3 linked regions of the Callithrix jacchus genome follow. The protein of the gene in region 2 purifies or fractionates together with the protein of the main gene of each other region. This does not show direct contact. Links are inferred from orthologs where the notes say so. Each region holds a gene or a part of one and is shown on either strand. Other genes may lie near its edges. The genes, in order: MAPK8, WDR62 and CEP170.

Region 1 (8,609 bases), on a different chromosome or scaffold from region 2:
ACATTTGCTCAAAGTTAAAAATAAGTGATAACAATAGCAAAATCTACGTGAATACTTGTATCTAACATTCCAGGCACCAAACCAGTGCCAGGCACTTTACATGCAGTACCTTATTTAAACCTCACAGCCCTATGAGGTTATGTGCTATTATTATTCTCATTTGACAAATAAAACAGGTCCAAATATGTTATATAACCTGAACTAGCCTTTACCTCAATTACTTAGATTGGAGCATGGATTAGAACCCAGGGCTGACCTTAAAACCCACGCTAGCAATCACTATAAGGTTTGGGTTCCTTAACTTTCTAAAGAATGGCAGATTTTGACTAAAATGGAAATATAATAAAGGGTAACAGCAAACACAGGTATCTATGTGTGATATAACCCACCTCCTTGAAAAAGAATGGAAGCTACTAAGTTTTTCAAAAAGGTGTCTCCTCTCTCTCTACACACACACACACACACACACACACACTCACTCTCTCTCTCTCTCTCTCTCTGTCTCTCTCTAAAAACTGGACTTCAGTGAAATCTGGCCTGCACAGAGATGTGAGGTGGACTTTTGTTTGGCGGGAGCCCTTTCATATAACTATTTTTTTTTTTTTTTTTTGAGATGGGAGTCTCACTGTATCCCCAGGCTGGAGTGCCATGGCGCAATCTCAGCTCACTGAAACCTTCACCTCTCGTGGATTCAAGTAATTCACTGCCTCAGCCTCCCAAGTAGCTGGGATTACATGTGCCTGCCACCACACCCAGCTAATTTTTGCATTTTTAGTAGAGACGGGGTTTCATCATCTTGGCCAGGCTGGTCTTGAAATCCTGACCTGGTGATCTACCTGTCTCGACCTTCCAATCATATATACCTTTTAAAAGAGCATAAATTCACTGTTTAGAGATGCCTTAAGTCTCATCCTTGATTATAATTTTCCTGAGGATCATGATCTCTTCATTTTATTTCTTCTACAAAGTCTCTGTGAGTATAGGGTCTCATGAGAAGGCATGATGCTGTGGAATAAATAAAAATCTACCTTTCCAAGAATCTCTAGCTTATGGTGATGCCTTCTATTTGTTTTCTAACTCTGAATATTAGAGAAAAAAAATTAAACAATTTTTTTTTTTGCTTCTGAAAATTACAAAATTCTAACTTTGATTACTGTTCTTAATTTGGGCTTCTGATTATCACCCAAGAAGGGCTCTTTTTATCCTAGTATGTTTTCTGAAGAACCACCTATATGATGAACAATGCTTCTATTAAAAAAAAGTTCTGACAGCCTCAGTTTATAGTTTTAAAGCCAAAAGAAAATTAAGGCACTTGCCTAAAGCTCCATAACTTGTTGGTAACAAAGTCCAGATGGCAGAAATGAGAAATGAACCTAGGTCTGATTCCTGGATTGCTTTAGTTCCACCTATTGACCTGAATAACAAGGCAACTCTTATTACAATACTCCTGTTACCTTCCAGTCAACTCATTTCTGAAATCAAAGTTCAACTTAACCTGCGTTAGAGTAAGAATGCAAAGCTTCTAAATGTTCAGATAAAGAGCTCATGATTAAGACAATCAGCATCACAGTTCACTGACATAGGCAAATGATTCATATATAAAGCTACGTGGTTATAATTACTTCCTTGGATTACATCAATCAGAAAGGCTACTACCCATACCATTGACTTGACCAGAGACCTCTAGAGAGCTGGAATCTTAATGTCAAGACATTATATTTTGTATTTCCACACATGCAACAAAGCATCCCAACCATGTAGATGACTCAAATATGTCAAAATTCAACCCACTGGCAAAGTGGACCAACAAGTAGCAGGCTCCTACTCAACAACCTCATAGCACTAGGATAGTTGGGAACTATTCATTTAACAACAAATTACTTCAAGTTGTTTCACTGAACACCTCATCCTCACAAGGTCACTTCCGTAATATTAGGCATGGAGCAAACAGTTAAGATTCTAACCACGTTTATTTGTGTACAATTTATTATTGCACTAATTGCCTTTCCAAATGGCATTTCCCCCAGGATCTAAAGGAATATGAAGGATATAGTTTCCAGGACACTTAAAAGGAGCCCTTTTCATACTTATTAAAGGAATATATTTACTAACAGAATCGATGCTATATTTCTTAAAGCATAATTTGAACTGGAATTCTGAGTGACTGCTAATGGGTATAATGCCTCTTCTTTGGGTGATGTTCTGGAATTAGTGGTGGTGATCAATGCACAACTTTGTGAATATACAAAAGACCAATGAAATATATATACTCTAAAGGGTGAATTTTATGATATGTCAATTAAATTACAATAGAGCTATTTTTAAAAAAACAACAATTTGGAATACAAAATAACATAACTCTGGTTCTCTACATAGCCTTACTGTGAGCTACTGCCAAAGGTTTGTCAGTAACCCCCTACTAGAATATGACATACTTTAGGTAAACCAATGAAAGTTTGGTATCTAAAGGATTTTCATCCCTTATCTTTAAATAGTATCATTTTCTTATTTCTTCATTTCTACTTTACATCAAATAATAAGCTCATTAATTAGTTCACTCATTTCGTATTCTTTCAAATCCAAAACAAATGCTACACTGTATTAAATAGTGAAAAATAACTTTAACTTGGATAAATCCATTATTTTGAGTTTTAGGCTCATATTTTGTGCCAATAGTATTAATACAAGTTAGAACTTAAAATCAAACATTTCAAGTAAACATTCCTAAAATATTAGAAATTAAATATTTCTAATAAAACATTTATGTGGTTTCTTTTGCCCTTACTTTTCCACAAAATAAGTGTCACCAAAAACCTTTCAAACAATATTCACAAAATGATAACTGCAATCATTTTAGACCCCTACTGAGATATCAGTTTATGTGTGCCTGTGTGTAGATTACGTACATACACACACAGACATACATACACTAGTACATACACGCACACACCCCACAACCTGCTTTAGTTTATTAATCATATAAAAAAAACTTAGACAAGATTTTATTTTAGGAAAATTAATGACCTACAAGTGATTCAAAAGCCCATGTCATCGTAAAAGATAATGTACATGAACTGATCATTCAGCCATCTGAAGCAACAGTAGCATGAAGCTTCCAAAACTTTATGGAGACCATTTTTTTAAAGTTTGATTTAAAATATTATCAATTATAAAGAGCTTTTCATCAATCCGACTTTTATTGAACACTTACTATATTCCAGGCTAGGTGGTGGAGAAAGAGATGCAAGACAGGCCTGCCCTCAAGGAAGTCCCATTTTGATTGCTTGCTTTTGTCAGGCACAGCACTAAACATGTTCACTTAGAGCATCTGACCTCCTAGGTTTAACGTTAACCACAGCAGGGGAATCTGAGGTAACCATTACAAATGACTGTAAGGCTGCAAGACTGGAAAAAATAAAGTTTAGAAATAAAAGCTGTTGTATGTTTAGACCAAATCTAAGTCTACTTCCTAATATTACACTTGTACTTCCAGATATACTGCTTAAAAAATGACCCAGAATATAACTATACCTTCCTTAGCAGACATGACTTACATAATTGTCTCATTTAAAGGTCCATCTATTGTACTTCAAAGCATCCTCTTCCATGAAAGGATACTTCTCTTTACCTTCAAATCAAACCTCTTCATCTGGGTACGCTACTAAACAGTTGCTGAATGAATGAATGAATGAAAAAAACAGATTTCTAATTGTCAAGAGGGTACTCGCTGGATGCTTATCTCAAAACACAATGGACTGACGGACCAGAATTCTGCTGGAAAAATCACTGAATTTCAGAGGTAAAAATAGTAATCACTGGACAATGCCATGTAGTCAACATATTATTAAATTCGCAGTAAAGACCAGGCGAGGAACTTTCGGGAATAAAAATGAAGTGTTCATCAGGGTACTTTAAAATGGCCTTGGTTCTACCATCTCTGAATTGGGAACACAAATGTGAGACAAAGAGATGGGAGGGCGGGGTGAAAAAGTCAAAAGGTCACCACCGAGTGACCCCCAAGAGAAATGCGCGCTGACCACTGAAGCTCGGGCCGAGCTGGGTGGACACCTCCCGCCCAAGCCACCGGCCTGAGCTCTGCCTCGCAGCCCAGAGCTGAAGGCCACCCCGGCCCTTTTCAGCGCTGCTGCCTGCGTTCGCCCAGAACGTTAGCACAAAGAAACCACCGAGAAGCAAAATACGGTCCCCATGGGCTCGGGGCAGGCTTGGGGACCCGGCGGCAGGAGCGCTCTCCTCGGCTCCTCGCCGCCCGGGAGGCAGCCAGGGAGCGGCGGGCCGCGGAGATGCCTCCGTCCGACCCTCGCCGAAGTGTTTCAGAACTTGCCACCCACCCCCCGCTCCATTTTCTCCTCCCGACTCGGAGGCAGGACCCGCGCAAGGAGGACGCGAGAGGACAGGCGGGCGGGGCTCACGGTGGCGGGCGGGCGGACAGGCGGCCGGCGGAGCGCGCTCAGGTCCCGCAGCCCCACGCCCCCTCGTCCGGCCCCCGCCTCCGCGCCGCTATTGTTCCCGCACCGCCCCCGCCCGCCGCGCGCTCTCGTCCCCACTCTCGGGAGGGGGTCACGGCTGAGAAGGCTGCGGCGGCGACGGCACAATAACATAAACACGGCGGGGCCGCCGGCCGCCCTGGCCCTGCGGCTCCCGCCGCACTCACCCGGCAGCGCAGCGAAAGGCGACAGGGAAGCCCGCCAGCGGAGACAGGGGCCGTCCGGGCGGTCGCCGCGGCCGCTACCCGGCGCAGCTCGCGGCTCAGCTTTCCGAGCCGCGTCGTCCGGCCTCAGCGGCTCCGCTGACTAACAGGGACGCGGGCCGTCACCGCGCACGCCCGCCTACGTCATCGCGCAGGGCCCTGCCCCCGCGCTTCCCGAGCGGCCTGCGGGGCGGGGCAGCCCCGGGGCCCGGATTGCGGGGGCGGGGCGCCGCCCGAGGGCGGGGCTACTCCAGTGGGCCGAGGGACTTGCGGAGGTGGCCTGGAGGCGGAGCCGCGGGGAGAGCCTCCGAGGGCGGTGGTGAGGGGCATGGCCAGGAGCGGGAGGGGCGGGGCCCTGAGGCGGCACGTGTTGGCGCGTGGCACCAGGGGACCGCGTCTGGCTGGCACCGGTAGCCAGGTCCTTGCTTAAGCCTTCGGGCCTCGCTGGCACAGGGTTGAAGGGCAGGTGCGCTTAGGCCAAATATGCCCGGCGAACAGGCACTCTTCCACTCCATACACATCTGAGCGATGAAAAGCTGTTTACCTTGACCAACAGTAGTTCCATTCCGAGGACACCTGTCCGGGTCCCAGCAACCCACAGAGAGATAAGTGTTCTCTTCACCTGCCCTAGAAAAGCTGCCTCCTGTTTTCCCAAAATCCACGTCCTCCGAGATTCCTTGCAAATCCAACTCTTCCCAGATGCCTTGCATTACCTGGCTTACCTCTGAGGCACCACAAAGCGTGTAAATGTTACAGAAGCGATAAATTGACGAGCCCTTTAAATATCCAACAACGGGTGGAAATTACCTACATCAATTCGGTAGAATACATTTTAGCAATTTAAAGGCCATGTGTTCAAGGAATTCTTAACAACATAGAAAAATGTTCACAATATATCATTAAGAGAAAGAAGCACAAAACAGGTCTTATATATAGAATGATCCCACTTAGATACTATATATACACATAGAAAAAACCTGGAAAGAAATACACCAAATTATGTTAACAGTCGTTCATCATTGGACTATGGAATAAAGGGTGACTTGGTTCTCTTTCACACTTTGGGTATTTTCTCATGTTTTCCGAGAATAATAGTTATGTTCACAATCGGAAACAAGTAAGTTACTTTAATAATAAATATATAAATATTTACATATTTATATATTTTTATAAATATATCTATAATGATTTGTTTTTATAATAAATATAATTTTTATAAATATTATATATATATGTATGTTGGGCTGGCCTGTTTCTGGTGATTCTGAAAAGGAACATACAGGTGATTATTCATTAATTCTCATCCCAGTTTCTCTCTCCCTCCTTTTCAACCTTCTTAATTTCCTGCCATCCTTTATTCCTGCAATAATTATTTATTGCATGCCCATTCAGTGCCAGGCAATACAATAGAGTTTACAGATTTAATCACTGTGCTATCAAAGTAATAGCAGTAAACACATGCAAAATTATCACTGTCTTATAATACAAATTGTCAAGGATACATAATATTATGAAACCAGTTAATACACTAGTTAATAGGGGCAGAAAAGATTTCCCTGAGAAACTGTCACTTGAGCTTGGAATGGGTTTGACTAGGCAGAGAATATTTTAGAAGTAACTTTGTATGCAAAGGTCCTGTGAAGAGATTGAGCAGGATAAACTGGAGAAATTCAGGAAAGGCTAGCTCTGCTGGAAGAGCAAACAAGGAGCTATAAGATGAAGTCAGGAAGACTGGTAAAGGGACCAAATGTAGGACAGCCATATTGGCCACGTTGAAAATCTTTTTACCCTAAGTGCAATGGGAAGCCCCTGACATATTCAGCAAAGGGTATGGCATGATTAGAATAGCTTCTTGAAAATATTTCTTACTGGAAAGAGGCCAGGTGGATGTAGGAGTAGTCTAGACCATAGGAAGTAGAGGCTTGATCTAGGATAATGGTCATGGAAATAGTTGATGGACATGGAAAGAGCTCAGAATTATTTAGGATGCTCAAGGGGCAGAACTTGCACATTCTTCAAGTGATGGGTTAGGTAGGGCCATGAAGGCGAGGGAGTCATCAAGGAAAACTTTAAGGTTTCGGGCTTGTGGCCAAGGATGGATGTTAATGCTGGTTCAACAAGATGGAAATCTTGGAAAAGGACCAGACTCCAAATCTCAGAGGATGTGGATTTTGGGAAAACAGGAAGCAGCTTTTCTAGGGCAGGCATGAAAATATCATGAGAGCAGGTTGTTTGGCTGTTTAAAGGCCTTTGAGATGCCCAAAACTGATGTTAAATTGGTGGTTAGATATACAGAGCTGAGGCTCAGCTAGATAAGAGACAAATCATTGACAGTGAGTGATGCCTTGAAGCCTTGGGATGGATGGGTCAGCCTAGGCCTGAGGGAGAGAGGGTAGTGAGTGAAAAGAAGAGAGGGCCTGCAACCAGTCTTGGGGAACTTCAGTGTTAAAGGGCCACAAAGGGGGAGATGAGTCTGTGATGAGCTGTCAGGAAGATGGAAGGATAACCGGGAGAGAGGTGTTCAAGAAGAAAGTACTGATCAATAATATTAAACATAACAGGAGGCTTGGAATCCTGGAGTAATAGAACCAGAAATGAGAGTGGGCGGGGAAATGAACGGGAGGTGAGAAAATAAAGGTGGTGAACATGGATGAGTCAGGCAGTGAAGTAGGATACAAGCTTATTTTACCTCTGATGGTAAGACTGTTGAGAGGGAGAGGTTGAATACACACAGAAGAAAAGGAAGAAATATATGTTTCCTGAGAAAACGGGGTGTGATTGGGCCACCCAGCCAGAGGTATCGGCCAGTACCTCCTACTCTTCACCAGATAAATTAAAGACCTGGAAGTAACAAAAAAACCAACACAACACTTAGAGCTGTTGTGAAGTGAGGGGAGTTGCTGGGAGCAGAGCTCCAGAGTTTCATACCCAGTTCTGTAATGCTATCGTTAATAACGACCTCCATCTCATTCCACAGGGCAAGCTTCTGACTTAGCGTCAATCTACCATGGTCAGCTTCTGATTGTCTACATCTAGAAAGAACATTCCACATATTTACATGTGTACATTTGTGTGTTTGTGTGTGTGTGTATGATTTCAGAAAGCATTTTTCTATTTCTAATGGAATGTAATTATCTCAGATAGTCTGTAAATTCAAAATGCTTTTTGTAACCCAGATGCAGTGTTGGGCCTCCTTCTTCTCATACAATTCTTCCTTGTCAAACTATTGGAGTTCCTTGTTAACCTGTTGAGGGTCTGACTCAGAAAAAGAGGAAAACATAGTGAATTCATGTTTCTTGTCTCTTGTTTCAGGGGAACTGTCTTGGAGACAGCTGGTCTTTGGATCCCTCTGAGGCTGGAATGGGGAAAGGAGAGAAGAGGAACTGTAGGCCTTTCAAACTCAGTGTCTGCTGAAGCCCTGAGGGATGTTCAAGAAGAGGTTGCACTCTGCCAGAGTCCCTCTTCCCTTGTCATTCCAGACCATACACACACTGGATTGTACTGAAGATGTTCCTCTGGCTAAGGTGTCAGGTGAATAACACCAAGCTGTTCAGGGTGCAGAAACTGAAAGTTGAGACTTCGATTTAGTTCCTAATTCCCTGACCTCACTCCAGGGGTGGGGAGTTGGGTTGGTGGGAAGGTTTTTACCAACTAAGGCCTGCAGAAGGGCATCTCCAAGGACACTCCGTCTCCCCGACTCCACCTCCACCACCATCCTTCTCTGTTAGCCTTGCTATCAAGCCTCCCAGTCTTGTCTCTCACCCATGTCTCCAGTCAAGTCTACTTTTCCTTTGGCAGGTTCTGGTGAAGTCTCCTTTCCCAGTTTGCAAACAGTCACCTTCTTGCTATGTCCTCACATGGCAGAGAGAGAGAGAGAGAGAGAGAGAGAGAGAGAGAGAGA
Region 2 (8,070 bases):
TTTCCACTTCAATACCCTTCTTATGGCTGGACATCATGGCTCACACCTGTGATCCCAGAACTTTGTGAAGCCAACAAGGGAGGATCACTTGGGCCCAGGAGTTCAAGACAAGCCTGGGCAACACAGCAAGACTCTGTCTCCATTATTTATGAAAATTAAAAAAAAAATACAAATAAACAAAAACTTTTTGGATGTATTACTATAACTGCATATTCAAAATCTGTCTCCCCTACCCAGCTGCAAGTGTATTAAGGGCGGGGCCCAGGGCTGTCTTGGCCACTACCATATCCCCAGCATCACTCCATGGTGCCCAGGCATGGACTCATCCCTCTGGTAGATGGACAGGGGCTGCCAGGACCTGGGGTGGCCACTCCAATTCCTGTCCTTCATGTGCTGCTGCTGCTCCCGGCGGTCGATCTCCAGCAAGTGCTGCTTCATGCAGTTGGTGATCTCCGGGCCCAGGTGCCAGATAAACACACAGCTGCAGGGGCCGAAGAGACACACACAAGGCGGAGGAAGAGTGAACATGGGAACCACTGCCACACTGACCTGCAGCCTAGGCCCCGTCCTCCAGATGCTCCTGGAAAGCACACCGCATCAGCTTAGTGCAGGGGGCTAGACTCGCCACATCCATACCCTTGGCTTCAGGTCTGGGGCATGCCAGCAAACCAGGGCCTACTAGGGAGGCATCAAGACTTAAGGAGGGGGCTGTGGGAAAGAACTGGAGTAAATCAAAGGGAGTGACAAATGGGACTTCCTTGAGCACCACCCATGTGCCAAAGAATATATGTGTATCATCTCATTCATTTCTCACCATACAATTTTCTTTTCTTTTTTCTGAGATGGAGTCTTGCTCTGTCGCCTAGGCTAGAGTGCAGAGTTGCAATCATGGCTCACTGCAACCTTTACCTCCCAGGTTCAAGTCATTCTTGTGCCTTAGCCCCTGCTGAGTAGCTGAGACTACAGACACATGCACCACCACACACAGCTAATTTTTCTATTTTTAGTAGAGACAGGGTTTCTCCATGTTGACCAGGCTGGCCTGGAACTCCTGACCTCAGGTAATTCACCCGCCTCGGCCTCCCAAAGTGCTGGGATTATAAGCATGAGCCACCACAACCAGCCTCACCATACAATTTTCAAGGTAAACGATGTTGTCATTTACAGAGGAGCAAACTGAAGCTCAGAGAGGGGAAACAACCTGTTCAAGGTGACAAGAAAATAAGTTACAGAGCTGGGATTTGTTTTGTGTTTTTTTTTTTTGAGATGGAGTTTCGCTCTTGTTGCCCAGGCTGGAGTGCAATGGCACAATCTCAGTTCACCAAAACCTCTGCCTCTTGGGTTAAGCGATTCTCCTGCCTCAGCCTCCTGAATAGCTGGGATTACAGGCATGCACCACCATGCCCAGCTAATTTTGTATTTTTAATAGAGACAGGGTTTCTCCATGTTGGTCAGGCTGGTCTCCAACTCCTGAACTCAGCTGATCCGCCTGCCTCAGCCTCCCAAAGTGCTGGGACTACAGGCATGAGCCACTGTGCCTGGCCTAGATTTTTTTTTTTTTGAGACAGGGACTCACTCTGTCACCCAGGTTGGGGTGCACTGGCACAATCTGGGCTCACTGCAACCTCTACCTACCAGGTTTAGGATGTCTCTCCCCTCCTGAGTAGCTGGGACTACAGGTATGTGCCACCACACCTGACTAATTTTTTGTAGAGATGGTGTTTTGCTATGTTGCCCAGGCTGATCTCGAACTCTTGAGCTCAAGTGGTCCACCTGCCTCAGCCTCCCAAAGTGCTGGGGTTATAGGCATGAGCCATCATGCCCAGCCTAGAGCTGGGATCTGAACTAGCAGCTGGGTGTGACACCAAGACTCACACAATCCAAATTGGGCAGCTCAGAAATGCTCTCTACACAGGCAGGCTAAGTGAAGTGGTCATGGTATCTGAGCCACAACTCTCCCATGGTCCATGTCCCACCCACTCCCAGAGGGAGGCCTGGCCAGGGGCAGTCTCCAGGCCTGTCCCACCTGTCTCCGGATACTGTGATCAAGTGATGACAGTCATAGGTGAACTTCATGCTGGTAATAATTTCTGCAAACAAAGCAGAGAGGCTGCACTTGCCTTCGGAGTCAGAGGCTGTGGGTGGGTGGGCAGGCATCCCAAGCAGTGAGGCACACCCACCTGAATGGCCAAACATCTTGGCAATGCACTCGCCCGAGTAAAAGTCAATCACTGAGATGCTTTTGTCAGAGCAGCTAGTGGCCAGGAAGGTACCTGAGGGATCCACATGGACCTGCCAGGAAAGGGGCCCACATGTTACTCCAGCTGCCTGCTTCTTCCTTATGGTGAGGCCTGGGCCCCACCTCCCCCATGCTGGATGCACAGCACATGGAACCCTGGTAGGGCAGCAGCTCCCACTCCCATTCAGCAGGTGAAGAAATGAACCACCACTGCAGCAGTAACAACAGTAGCTAGGCCCTGTGCTAAGCACTGAAGGTGTGCAAAATGAACTCATGCAGAGAACAAGTCCATGAGCCAAGCTGTCTTTACATGCATTTTACAGGGCATAAAACAGGCTCAAGAGATGATGCTTGCCCAAGGTCACACAGTCAACCTGAGGCAGAGCCTGAACCCATAACTGTCCTAGACCAGAGGCTCTGAGAAGATCCCCCCTTGTCCTGAGTGATCATGGCTGGTGTGGGCAAGACAGGAGAGGAGTCCATGCCTCTGATTCTTTCCACCATACCCTGCTGCCACTCAAAATGGAACCAACTTAGACGCCCCACTTGGGTAAAGGCTCAGTAAATAAAGGAAATGCAGCTGGGGTCACTCTCCCCACCCCCTCGCAACCACCCTTGTTTATCCAGGCCTGAGAAGGTGCTGGCCAGTGCAATGCACTGAGGAAGCACCAAGGGCACAGGTCTCAGGTGTGGGCCGTCATACTAGGTGGCCCATCAAGGCAGCAGACAGGGGGCCCCAAATCCTCACCTTCAGCAAGGACCCTTCGTCACCCTGGGAGCCCTTGTAGCACTTCTTCTGCTTCCCATTCACGGTGTTGTAGACTCTGGGGAAGTAGGGGCATGTTGTGGCAAACAGGGTCCCAGCCCCCGCCCTACCACTTCACCCTCTGGCTCCTGCTGTCCTCCCCTCCCCTGGAAGCCCCCTGCTATCTCCTATTCCCATCTGATGCCTAAACTGAAACTGAAACCCCATCTCAAGCTCAAGTTGTGTCCTGGGGTACCCGCTGAGTTAATGCCCATCTCCCCTACAAACTGCAAGCTCAGTGCCCAGCACCCCATAAGGAGTCAGGAAGGAGGTGCAGAGCCTCTTTGCACTCCTTTGCCCTCTGCCTTCCCCTGGCTCGCTCCTCCACATCCTCCCCAGGCTCAGATGTCTCTTCCTCCAGGAAGTCCTGCTTGATCCCCAGATGGGGTCGGGCATCTCCCTAGGGCCCCTGGGCTCTGCCATCTCTGACCACTCTGTGCTGTCACTGTCTGTGGCTGTGAGGTAGCCATGTCCCCTCCACTGGACTGCGAAGTCCAGGGCCTGGGGCTATCCTGGCCACTGCCATGACCCCAACGCCATCTAGCCCAGCTAGGCGCTCAGAGAATACGGATGAATGCAGGAGTTTATGTGCCACATTAGCACCTCAGTCATCCCACACTGGCTCTGGGGAGAGCTGGAAGGAAGCCCTCTGCTGACCTGGAGACCAGACCTGGGAGAGCCCAACTTCTGAGAAATACCAGGTAGCGGCCCAGTGCGGTAGCCCACGTCTGTAATCCCAGCACTTTGGGAGGCTGAGGTGGGCAGATCACCTGAGGTCGGTGGATAACCTGAGGTTGGCAGATCACCCAAGGTCAGGAGTCTGAGACCAGCCTGGCCAACATGACAAAACCTTGTCTCTACTAAAAATACAAAAAATTAGCCAGGCATGGTGGCGGGCACCTGTAATCCAGCTACTTGGAAGGCTGAGGCAAGAGAATCACATGAACCTGGGAGGTGGAGGTTACAGTGAGCCAAGATGGTGCTACTGCACTCCAGCCTGGGCAACAGAGTGAGACTCTGCCTCAAAAAAACAAAACAAAACAGAATAAAAAAAGAAACAAGAAACAAGAAACACCTGCTGGATCCCTCAATCCCCTCCCAGCTTGTTGGGGACCAGAGGAACAGAGGGAGGAAAGCAGCCAGCCTAGGACAAAGCAGACCAGGCCGGTGCCTGTTCAGAAACCAGCCTGGCCCAGTCCAGCTAAGGGCCCAAGGCCACCCCTTACCTCACATTGCGGTCCTGGCAGGCCACGGCCACATACTTCTGGGTGATGTCAATGTCCATGTCATACAAGGTGGTTTTCTCTGCTACGTGATGGGTACGGACAAAGTGTAGTCTATCCGAACCCTGGCAGGGTGGCAGGACCTTCAGAGAATGCCCCTGATAACCCCCCCACCCCAGTCCCCAAGCAGGCCATGCCACCCTACCCGCTGGGCGCTGCGAAAGTAGATGCTCTTGTCAGCCCCACAGCTGATCATCTGGATATCTCTGTTGCCTGGGGGAGGAAGTGGCTGTGTGTTAGGCAGGGCTGGGCCACATGGGCAGGGGCTCCTAGCTGGGGACCTCCACTGCAAGGGCCTTCAATCAATTGTACTGGGATCTAGGAAGGTTTCTTGGAGGAGGTGAGGTGGGTGCTGGGTCTGGATGGGACTCTGTGAGATATGAGCTGTGTGTGTGAGGGAGCACAGGTGGAGCTGTGGGGAAGGCTGGCTCTGCAGAGCAAGGACATATAGGGAAACAAAGGCTGGGGACAAAGAGGGGACACTCTCTCCAGTCTGGGATTGAGATAGGTGACTTGAGTAGCAGAGTAGAGGCAGGACTATAGTAGGGACCAGTGGAGACAGGCTGGGAGGCTCATGCCATCAAGATCAATTTCAAGATCCAAACGAGCCGGCCAGTCCCCATGCATGGGCCTAGTATTCCTGAATGCTCACCACCCATTCCACTGGACAAGCGTGAACACAGAGGTTCACAGAGTCCTTGTCCCAAGGTACACAGAGAGGACAGGGAGAGGACTGAACTCAGGCATTTTCTGGTGCTAGAGTCAAAGCTCTTAAACACAGCTCTGAACCTGGGCCTCCCCTCTGAGCCTTAGCTTCCTGTCCATACAATGGGCGTCGTGACAGTCCCTTCCCTGGAGAGTAGTATGAAGTCATTGGAATAGGGGCTGCAACATGGCAAGTACTATAAACATTCTTGCTTTTACTATTCTCATTTCTTTACAGAATAAGAGTTTGGTGAGAATGAAAAGGCAGAACAAATATAAAACTCTTAGGGTCTCATCACATCAGACATGCTCCTTCATGACAGAATATTTGAGAGACGGTCCAGGCCTGACATACAAATATTAGATGTTGCTCAAGGAGAGTCATTGGCTCACAGAAGGGAGTAAGCCCCATATAGGGGAGGAAGCATGACCCGCTGCAGTCTCTACCTCCCAGGTTTAAGCAATTCTCCCACCTCAGCCTTCCAAGTAGCTGGGATTACAGGTGTACCACCATGTCCAGCTAATTTTTTATTTTCAGCAAAAATGGTGTTTCACCATGTAGGCCAGTCTGGTCCTGAACTCCTGACCTCAGGTGATCCACCCTCCTCAGCCTCCCAAAGTGCTGGGATTACAGGACTGAGCCACCGTTCCCTGCCCAGGTCATTATTCTTTATGTTGTATACAGACACTGTATTCACTTATTTGGATACTATTTGACAGGAGAGTTAAAAGAACAAATCCTTTTTTAGCAGGGTAGCTAGCAGGGCACAGGGAGCAGGAAGGAAGGGGCTCACCAGCGAACTTGATGGCGGTGATGGAGGAGGAGTGGTCATCCAGCGTCTGCTCCAGGTTGTAGTTCTTCTCCACGTTCAGCACATGGATCAGCCGGTCCCGACTGGCTGAGGCCAGCAAGGTCATCCCTGTGAGAGGAAAGGATGAGATTGGTTCCTGAAGGCTGCCTGGGTGCCCTGGCCTCCCAAAGGGCAGTGTGACTGCGCTGCCCAGTCTTGGAGAAGGGGGCCAACTTGGCCCAAGCCCAGCAAGGGTCACTTCCTCAGTTCTGCGTGGTCTTTCCCAGGGCCCTTACACCCTGACATTTCACCTCCTCACCACCAGCTCAGGGAGGATGAGTCTCAATGGGTGCTCCTCCAGGGACAGCCACAGCAGACACCCCAGCAGAGCCAAGCACTCTTGCCTGCTGGGTCCGACTCCCTGGCACACCAGGTAAATCCCTGGCAACCTCTCAGTCTCTCCTGAAACCACTGCCCTTTCACCCTCTGAGGTCAGGCTACCTGGGCCTTGCCCAGGTCCTATTGACTGCCTGTGGCCAGACTCGCATCTGCCACCAGCCTTCCCTACTCTGGTCACTTGCTATGCCTGAGGCTTAACAACATGACCCCAGGCAGAGAGGAGATCAGGAGAGGCAAATTGAGTGAAGAGATGTATAAAGACAAGTTGGTGGGGCACAGGTCATGGGGCATGGGAGAATGAAAGAAGAGCATGGGGAAAATCACATGAGGACCTAATTCCACCAACTCCGTAACTCCCAAAGTGCTGGGATTAAGGCATAGTGTCCAGCCTAGAAAAAATCTTGAGGAGCCGGGCATGGTAGTTCATGCCATGTAATCCCAGCACTTTGGGAGGTCAAGGCAGGCAAATCACCTGAGGTTAGGAGTTTGAGACCAGCCTGGCCAACATGGTGAAACCCCATCTCTACTAAAAATACAAAAATTAGCTGGGTGTGGTGGGGGGGGGGTGCCTGTAATCTCAGTGACTCTCGAGAGGCTGAGGCAGTAGAATCACTTGAACCCGGGAGAAGGAGGTTGCAGTGAGCCGAGATGGTGCCATTACACTCCAGCCTGGGTGACAGAGTGAGACTCTGTCCCATTAAAAAAAAAAAAAAGCCAGGTACGGTGGCTCACCCCTGTAATCCTAGCACTTTGGGAGGCCAGGGAAGATGGATCACCTGAGGTCAAGTTTGAGACCAGCCTGGCCAACATGGTGAAATCACATCTCTACTAAAAATACAGATTGGCCAGGCATGGTGGTATGCCTGTAATCCCAGCTACTTGGGAGGCTGAGGCATGAGAATCACTTGAATCCTGGAGGCGAAGGTTGCAGTGAGCCAAGATGGTGCTACTGACCTCTAGCCTGGGTGACAGAGCGAGACTCCATCTCAAAAAAAGAACAAACAAAAAAATTTGAGGAATTTGGGTGAAGCCCAGGTGGGTGGGTGTTCATTATAATATTCTCCCAATATTTCTATAAGCTTCAAATTTTTTGAAAATAATGCCTAGGCTGGGTGCGGTGTCTCATGCCTGTAATCCCAGCACTTTGGGAGGCTGAGGTGGGTGGAACACCCGAGGTCAGGAGTTCAAGACCAGCCTGGCCAACATGGTGAAACCCCATCTCCACTAAAAATACAAAAAAATTTATAAAAACAAAAAAGAAAAGAATGCCTAACAATCAATCTATCTTCTCCAGTAGAGGATGAGCTCATTCAGAATTCACTCATTCATACATCTACCGTGTTGGCTGGGGGCTGGCACCAGCAGCGGGCAAGTCAAGCTGAGTCCCAGCCGCTCTGGTTTCGGGGTCCAGCAACAGGGGCCCTTACCAAACACAAGACTCCCAGCTGCCATCCACAGTCCCACCAGACACCAACTACTCCTTTCTGTGGCTCTGCCAAGGTGGCTCCTCCCTGCCTGACACCCACTCCATCCCCACTGTGGGCTCACCGGTCTCCGGCTTAGAGTACTCCAGGCACAGCACCTCAGCATCATGGGCCTCCACCTTGACCAGCTCATCCATGAAGTGCAGCTCGTGGATCCTGGGAGACATAGACTGCCTGCTAAAGCCCCCACACCCCAGCCCCCTTGCGCTCTGCCACTACTAGGAAAGGTCAGAATGGCCAGGCCAGCAACATAAGAACCCCTTATCATGGCCAAATACTCTACAGATGCACAACCACTTTTCTCATTTAGAAAACTGCCATCGTAAAGGGAGCCATGTTAAGCCAGGGGGCGCTTCAGCAGATA
Region 3 (8,070 bases), on a different chromosome or scaffold from region 2:
CAAGTCCATTACAGTTCTAAGTTGGTTCATGAAATAGTCATTATTTTCTTATTTTCCCTCAGTCATAATAATTTAGAAAAGATGACTGGCAATGGTGGTTTTTTTTGGGGGGGTTTAGAAAATTCAATAGTAGGCCGTAAGAATATTCTTATACCAGATTCTAGACCCATTGTCGCCTTAAGCGTATGTTCCAGACTTGATGTGATGTTAATGAATTTCATCTTTTTAAATAAGGTAAGCATATTGATCTTTGAAGAAATAACAGTACAAATATTAACTTGGTTTACAACTTAAATGCTGATCAGCTTCCAGTAGTAATAAATCGACGTGAGGTTGTGCAGTTTATATAAGACTATGAACTAGATTTCCAGACTTACTGAAGAAATTTAAAAAGATACCAAAAAAGTAGCTAGTATTTACATCTTTCTAAAACTGCTGAATCATGTCTGATAGATTCTGAAGTGTTAGACAAGTGTCCCACATTTGAAAGACACATCAAAATTTTATGGCCCTTTATTTTATGTTATTTGAAGTTGGTTTCTAATATAGGATAATTATTGGGAATTGTTTTTATCAAAAGGATAACATCCTAATTTCCTAATTTTTAATAGGTATTAGGTTCAAATATACTGACAAGAATTAACCATTTTTAAGGAAAAGTACAGTACTCCCAATCTGCAGTCTTTAAAATAATATTCACACTTTGCTTGATCCATAAGGTGCTTACTCCTGTATAAAGAAGTCTTAACAGACACAATCGTTTAGACCTAATTCAGCCTGTCTTCATCTCCCTTATTCCTATACTGCATATATTCTGTCTGAACAAAAGTACATTTGCTTTATGGGAACAGTTACAGGTAGTTTCTGCTTATACTCAGGTGATACCTGTTGTTCCAGGATGCCCCACTGGATGCCTGCCACCACGGATAGTTCTAGACCCTAATATACTGCGCTTTTTCCTACACATACATGCCTATGATAAGAGATCAACAACAGTAACTAATAATAAAATAGAACATTATAACAATATGCTGTTAAAAAAAAGTCATGTGAATGTGGTCTCTTTCTCTCTCTCTGTCTCACTCTCCTGAAATACTGTATAGTTTTGGACCATGCTTGACTGCCACTAACTAAAACCATGGATAAGAAGGCATTGCTGTATTGTTAATTATAAATATTATAGTTTTGAAGTCATATCATCGTTTACATTTGTTTTATGTTTTGTTTTCAGTAAAGAATAAGATAAACAGTAAAGAGTTTATGCATGTATCAATAAGTATTCAGTTACTTTTCAATATGGATCTCATATACCTGAATTAATTGGTATTGTTGGCTTCATATTTTCATTCTCGACTTATGCAATGGTTGTTTTTTTTTAATTTGTGTACCTCTGAAAAGATACATTGTTTTGATATTATTAAAAAAGTAATAGGTTTTTAAAAATAGGAAAAGTTATACGCTTACTTTTTTGATTTATAGAATATTATTTAAAGACAAAGATCGGAACTGGGATGACATAGAAAGCAAACTGAGAGCCGAAAGTGAAGTTCCCATCGTGAAAACCTCAAGCATGGTACCATGATTTCTCTTGAAGTTACAACATTTTAAGAGAGTTTTATTTTGGGAGAAAGGCCCTTATTTTTTGGGTTGTTCATTGATTTACTTTGTCAAAAGAAGATATAAATGCAAAATTTGGGGAAATTTTATTTCTTCAACTGACTCACAGGTTTAAAATGTTGATTGTTTCAAAGTTGCAGAGGGTTTAAGGAGGAGTCTTTTGTGTTCCTTACTAGTATGTATTGTTGTTCTTGTAATACTTACAAACATGAAATTTTTAAAGAACACCAAATTTAATGTGAAAATATTAAGTTGACAGAAGTTGTTTCTGTTTACTTACTTGATATAATGCTTGTCTCCTTTTTAAAAGAATTTGTACAGATCTTCATTGCTCAGAATATAATCCTAATATTGAGGTTGCAGTTTATATGTTTTTACAAAGATAATGCGTAGGCACTTTTGCATAGTCATTGCAAGGTTGATTAGTAAGAATCTTTAAAAATCTTTGTGGCGGGACACGGTGGCTCACACCTGTAATCCCAGTACTTTGGGAGGCCAATGAGGGTGAATAATTTGAGTCCAAGGGTTCAAGAACAGCCTGATCAATGTGGCAAAACCCCATCTCTACTGAAAATATAAAAATCAGGCAGGCATGGTGGTTTGTGCCTCTAATACCAGCTACTTGGGAGGCAGAGGCAAGAAAATCGCTTGAACTTGGGAGGATGAGGTTACAGTGAGCCAAGATCATGCCACTGCACTCCAGTCTGGGCAACAAACAGAGTGAGACTCCATCTCAAAAAAGAAAAAATTGTTTTGCTTAAATAGTATAAATGACTTTAAACTTTACGTCTGCTGCAATCATCTCATTGAAAAAGTTATTCTATTTCAAATGTTTAAATATTTTAATTTGAATCTTGTTTACTAGATACCATAATTATTTCATACATGTTACTATTAATGTAGTACCATGTAGATAATGTTAAGTTTTCCAAATAAAATGAGAGTGAAATTCATTGCTTGTAAACTGGTAACATGTAGCTAAAGTAAGCTAACTTTTGTTACTGCTTTCCCTACAGGAGATTTCTTCTATCTTACAGGAGTTGAAAAGAGTTGAAAAGCAGCTACAAGGTAAATTTACTACTGAACTAAGTATAAAGAGCTAATAATTTACAATAAGTGCCTTCTAAGTTGTGTTTCTTAAAATATTCTTATTATTAGGATATTATTTGATTAAAAGCAATGACATACATAAAATACAGTTCTACATATTCACGTTACTCATCCAAAGGAACTTTTTTTAATTATATTATATTTTTAAAAATTATATTATATTTTTAAAAATTAAAAATATAATAAAGATAAATGAGCATATTTTAGTTTATAGGTTTGACATTAGGCTAGATGTTATAACTAATTGAAATTTTGTATGTATTAGGTATAAATAATAAGTAAAAAATAAATAATAAAGTTGTATATGTAGCTAAAACAGCTTGATAATTAGCATTATTTATGTGATTTGACAATTCTTAAATTACGTTAGTGGTATAACCTACAACAGTATTCTGATACAAATAATAGTTGCTTGGGTTGACAAGCAATGAGTACATATTACACATAAGGACCAAAAGAGAAAGGAGAGAAGAAAATGAGAGACTGTGACAGGGACATTGTTTGGTTTGTGTCAGAGCTGGATTATGCATTAATGCCTATGTATGCCTAGGACTTCTTGACCTAGAAGTCCCCAGTGGTACAATAAGCAGGTTCTATAGCCAACTGCTAATTCTACTGAGTCTTTATTTATTGAATAATCATAGGTTCATATGTGGAGCCTATGGAAATGATTTTTAACCTTTATTCAGCCCCAACACACCTAAGGGTTATGATATACCCCATGAGTAAAAGTAGCTTGCTAACATAATGATTGTTAGCTGGTAGACTGGGGTATACTTTTAAAAGGGCCTTCAAAATGATTCTTCTATCTGTGTTACTTCCTTCTCCCAGCTCTCTACTCTGCCCAATGCCAAATTGAAAATCACAGCCTGAGAACTTTCCATGTCAACCCAAAGATCTTTTGGATTGAAAGCTGATCTTTAGCTGACCCCTCCCATACAGGTAGCAAAGTCTGCTTGGCTTTGCAGGCTGCCCTCAGTGGTATAGACAGCTGATACCCTAGCACTCTGGCCAAGCTAAGTCACAATATTCTATGGTAGCATTCAGAGTATGCTGATGTTCTTCTGGCCTCTCCAGACTTGAGGTTACTCTGAACGCTGTCTTAGCAACTAAACCCCCAGTAATCTGAGTGATAAATACGGCTTAGATGTTTATTAAAAATCATAATAATTATTTTCTGCATCCTCTCACAATAATGAAAACAAATTTCAAAAAGATTTTTCTTGAATTCTACATCTTCAAATGCCAGACTTAAAAATCTCTGAAATGCCCGGAAGTGACACATCAAAGGACCCAGAGAAAGTATTCAGGGCTCGGTAATTGACAATACAGAGCTATGGAATTACTCAGAATGGAGTTTTAAATATAGTATTGGAAGAGTAGCCACATTTAAGATCATATACACACTGATAGTTTAAATATTATCCAAATCATAAACAATGTTCATATCTGAATGTAACTGCATCTGGAATTACATCCTTTTCCCCTATTTTAGCAATCAATGCTATGATTGATCCTGATGGAACTTTGGAGGCTCTGAACAACATGGGATTTCCCAGTGCTATCTTGCCATCTCCACCAAAACAGAAGTCCAGCCCTGTGAATAACCACGGCAGCCCTGGTCAGACACCAACACTTTGCCAGCCAGAAGCTAGGGCTCTTCATCCTGCTGCTATTTCAGTCTCAGCTGAATTTGAGAATGCTGAATCTGAGGCTGATTTCAGTATACATTTCAATAGATTCAACCCTGATGGGGAAGAGGAAGATGTCATAGTACATGAATGACTTTCTCTTGATTACTGAAAAATCATTACCTGTGGAATTGCTAGGAATATTGGAAGCAGCATAGTGTTGACGTACACAAAACAATACAGCTTGGTCAACTACAGTCTTGTAATCCCTGTCTTCTTCATTTTATTTATTTATTTTCTACATATAATGTAGTATGTCAATCCTTTCAAACCATTTAGATAACCACTTGATGCACAAATAGGGAAAAAGCAGATTGTGGCAGTGTCATCTTTTATGGTCTTACGACTTTCAAATTGAATTTTATTATTACACCCTTTCCCTTCATAGATCTTTTTTTTAAGCCATGCTGTGACCTACAAGCAAACTAAATAGCCAACATTTCTGAACCCCTATGTCTCCTGTGCCAAGCTGCTCCCTGAAATGGACTTCTTCATCTGTACAGCTTTGTTAAACCATTCTATTTGCTTCTTAATAATAGGATTTATATTAGTACTCATTACCACTGGACACAATGACGTAACTACTATCCGCAGAAAAGCAGACCTTTCACAACAGTCATACTGTGTCCTAAAATTTTCCAACATAGATGTGATTTATATAACTTTGTTGATAACGTAAATTGTCTTGGGGTTTACGGAACTTAACTATTATGTTTGCACTAAGATTTGCTGGGAGTGGTAGGTGGACATATCTATATATCAATAAGGACTAACCGTCTTTTTTGTACATAGGAGATTGATAATACTGTACTTGTTTTAACCCCACAGTGTTTTACTCCACTTTCAAAAACATCGATTTGGCACTTTTTTTTCATTTTTTTTAATGAAAATAAGATTTTGTCTCTCATTTTAGGTAAAATGATAACTAGAAAGATTAAACTAGACAGATAGTTTAGGTGGAGTATATTTTTAAAACTAAGAACATGTATATTGGTCCTGTGTTACCAAGTTTATATGTGACAGTTGAAAAAAAAAAATTCCCTTGAAATGATCATGAGGTTAAAATTGTCTTCATTAGGGGAATTGGAGAACCAGTAGTCATAAGATTAGTTGGTAGTTTCACTCCCAAGCAATGAATTGCTTCTGTGTGTTTCCCTGTAGGACTCAGTAGTAAATCCTGTCTATCTTACACGTTTATAAGGACCCTGCAAGACAGCGACAGAGGCCTTTGGCCTGTGCCACTAAACAAGAGGCCTGTGAAAAATTTCTTCTTTCAACTTGTTTTTTCTCTTTCCAGTAAGTTCACATTTGGATGACTTTAAAACGTAATTACCTTTGTGTTTCCAGAACACTATAATTGGGGTGTATCTTAATTCAGTTAAATATGATTGAAAGTAGACCTGGATTTTCCCCCTTGACCCCATCAGTCTATAAAGGTTAAACTGCAACTTTTATGACATGGTCTTTAATATTTCCACAATAATCCTGTGCTATATTCGCTTTAAGAAACAGTGTAACTCTATACACTTCAAGACTTTACAGGATTTTCTAAATCCAGTATTGTTGGATCAATTAATAAAGATACAAAAAATCTTTTTATAGAGATATAAAAACAAAAGTATAATGGATCTCATATTTTTCTTTAAATTCAAAAAAAAGTAAATGAACTATTCTCCTTGTAAAGCTAAATTCCCCATTCTGTCTAATAAAGGAAAACTGAAAGAAGGTTTTAAAGAACATAAATGGAAAGATACAAATGCTTTGAAGGAATAAACAAAATGTTAAAACAGGGTCAATCCATTTGAAAAAAAAGTTGGACAAAGTAATCAGCATTGCTCCCTCTTTTTAATACTTGGGTACTGATTATATCCACATGGAAGTAGAAGGTAAGGAGTTTAGGAAAATATTAGAATCTACTCTGCTTACATTCTTGTTTAAGTGTTTACAAGTTTGGTTCAATTATAAACATTTGGCCTTTTACTATGTTATTTTAATTTTGTATGAATACATTATTCTCCTTATTTATTTTTGTTACATTTATTACTTATGTTATTTTGTTATGCATTTACAACTCCATTTTTAAATAAAGTGTTTCTGGAACTTTATATGATGATTGTATATATTTTTTCTTTTACCATCTTGCTTGCTAATACTTCATCAACTTATCAAATGAATATTTATAAACCATTTCCCAAGGCTTATAATATAGCCAAAGAAAGAATCCTCCACTTTTGTTAATATGTGATAACTGAAATCTCTTATTTTGACTATTTAAAGAAAAAAATCTTAGCAAATTATGATCAGTATAATTCACTTATCTTAATGCCCTGATGTAATGTGCATGTACAAAGTCTTTATTTTTAACCAGCTTTAGATCATCAGAAAGCTTTATGACAGTGATATATTTGGGGAATAAAATAGAAATTTAAAATACCTTGGTCATCTGAAATTTGATAACTATCAATTTGTACTGCTTTTTTAACCCTATCACTCAAGCTCAAGAATCTTAAATGTCTCCTTATTGCTATTCAAAATCCTAAGTCTCACAGAGTAACCTTTTGAGACTTTGTGTGACCTAGCCCTGTTCTTATGTGCGTATCTCTGTGTCCCAGTACAATATCTACCACCATTTACAAGTTTCTTGACCATCATGAGCTTTTCATCATTCTGTTCCCTGCATCTTCCTCCCTCCGCCCTTCCTTCTTGCTTTCCCATAGTCCGTTCATTCTTCATGGTCCCACCAACCACTTCATAAAGCTTCCTTCACTTGACTGCACCATGTAGGGCTGTGCCACCTATATGCATTTTACCCTTCCCCCATGACACACACACGTTTCTTCCCTGGTAACTAAAGTAATCTTCATTTCCTGGGTAGACCCTTTGCTTTGAAACATCTCTGCTGTTTTGCCTCTTTCATCTCTCCTTGGGTTTACTTGCCATGTCTCTGCCTGACATGAAACCAAACCTGGAAGTGTGAGATCCAGACCCACTCCCTACTAGTTATCAGTGTGTTCCTCCATCTCATCTGCAAAATTAGGATACTGTTGTATTTATCCAAGTCCCTTTTAGTCTAAGTGGCCTTCGACTATGTGAAGTGTCCTTGAAAAAGCTTTCTCTGAGTCTCTGTCATTTCAAATCTTTCTTTCATTGTGTTTGCATAACACAGAAAGTTCTTAGAAACTAAAAAGTGTATTTAAGTGAATCAGCATTAATTGAGATGTATGTACTTCCTTCAAGAAACTCTGTTGGGAGATAGCCATGGAAACAATTCAGCTAAGGTGAGATAGAATGGGATCTCTACACCTAGGAGGCAAATGCAGGCTTTTTGTGTGTGTGTCTTACATGTTTAGGTAAGGGGGACAGGTGGGGGCCAACAGCCACAGACGTGTGGCTGCCAGTAAGTGTTGGGGAAAGATTTATGAAACTTCAAGTAATGGTCTCTCATGTGACAACAGCCAAGCCTGCTTGTTCCTATAAATCTTTAACGAAACATAGCTGTTTACATGGTTTAATCGTAATTTCAAAATCTACATGGTTGCTGTTTTTGTGTTTTACCCCAGTGCTTTAAAAGTATCCTAGCCTACATGCAGAAATGTGTCAAGGCCTCTTAAACAGAAATGGAATTCGTGATATTAGTTCTTTGGCTGATTCT

What was found.
Region 1: the proteins of WDR62 (region 2) and MAPK8 purify together in Homo sapiens (affinity purification with mass spectrometry; 5 studies listed by BioGRID and IntAct, counting the BioPlex papers as one, with this or other methods). This does not show direct contact. The link is inferred for Callithrix jacchus from reciprocal best matches to the Homo sapiens genes WDR62 and MAPK8.
Region 3: the proteins of WDR62 (region 2) and CEP170 purify together in Homo sapiens (affinity purification with mass spectrometry; 3 studies listed by BioGRID and IntAct, with this or other methods). This does not show direct contact. The link is inferred for Callithrix jacchus from reciprocal best matches to the Homo sapiens genes WDR62 and CEP170.

What each region holds. Positions count from the first base shown.
Region 1 is NC_133513.1:40,580,613-40,589,221, forward strand, and holds the start of MAPK8 (mitogen-activated protein kinase 8), read right to left. Parts: upstream 4,825-8,609; 5' UTR 4,673-4,824; intron 3,406-4,672; exon of another isoform or gene 3,212-3,405; intron 1-3,211. UniProt on the Homo sapiens protein: Serine/threonine-protein kinase involved in various processes such as cell proliferation, differentiation, migration, transformation and programmed cell death.
Region 2 is NC_133523.1:32,230,856-32,238,925, reverse strand, and holds part of WDR62 (WD repeat-containing protein 62), read right to left. Parts: intron 7,863-8,070; coding exon 7,771-7,862; intron 5,953-7,770; coding exon 5,827-5,952; intron 4,541-5,826; coding exon 4,473-4,540; intron 4,393-4,472; coding exon 4,271-4,392; intron 3,064-4,270; coding exon 2,988-3,063; intron 2,293-2,987; coding exon 2,181-2,292; intron 2,091-2,180; coding exon 2,027-2,090; intron 482-2,026; coding exon 284-481; intron 1-283. UniProt on the Homo sapiens protein: Required for cerebral cortical development. Plays a role in neuronal proliferation and migration.
Region 3 is NC_133520.1:43,011,647-43,019,716, forward strand, and holds the end of CEP170 (centrosomal protein of 170 kDa), read left to right. Parts: intron 1-1,479; coding exon 1,480-1,573; intron 1,574-2,633; coding exon 2,634-2,685; intron 2,686-4,222; coding exon 4,223-4,512; 3' UTR 4,513-6,523; downstream 6,524-8,070.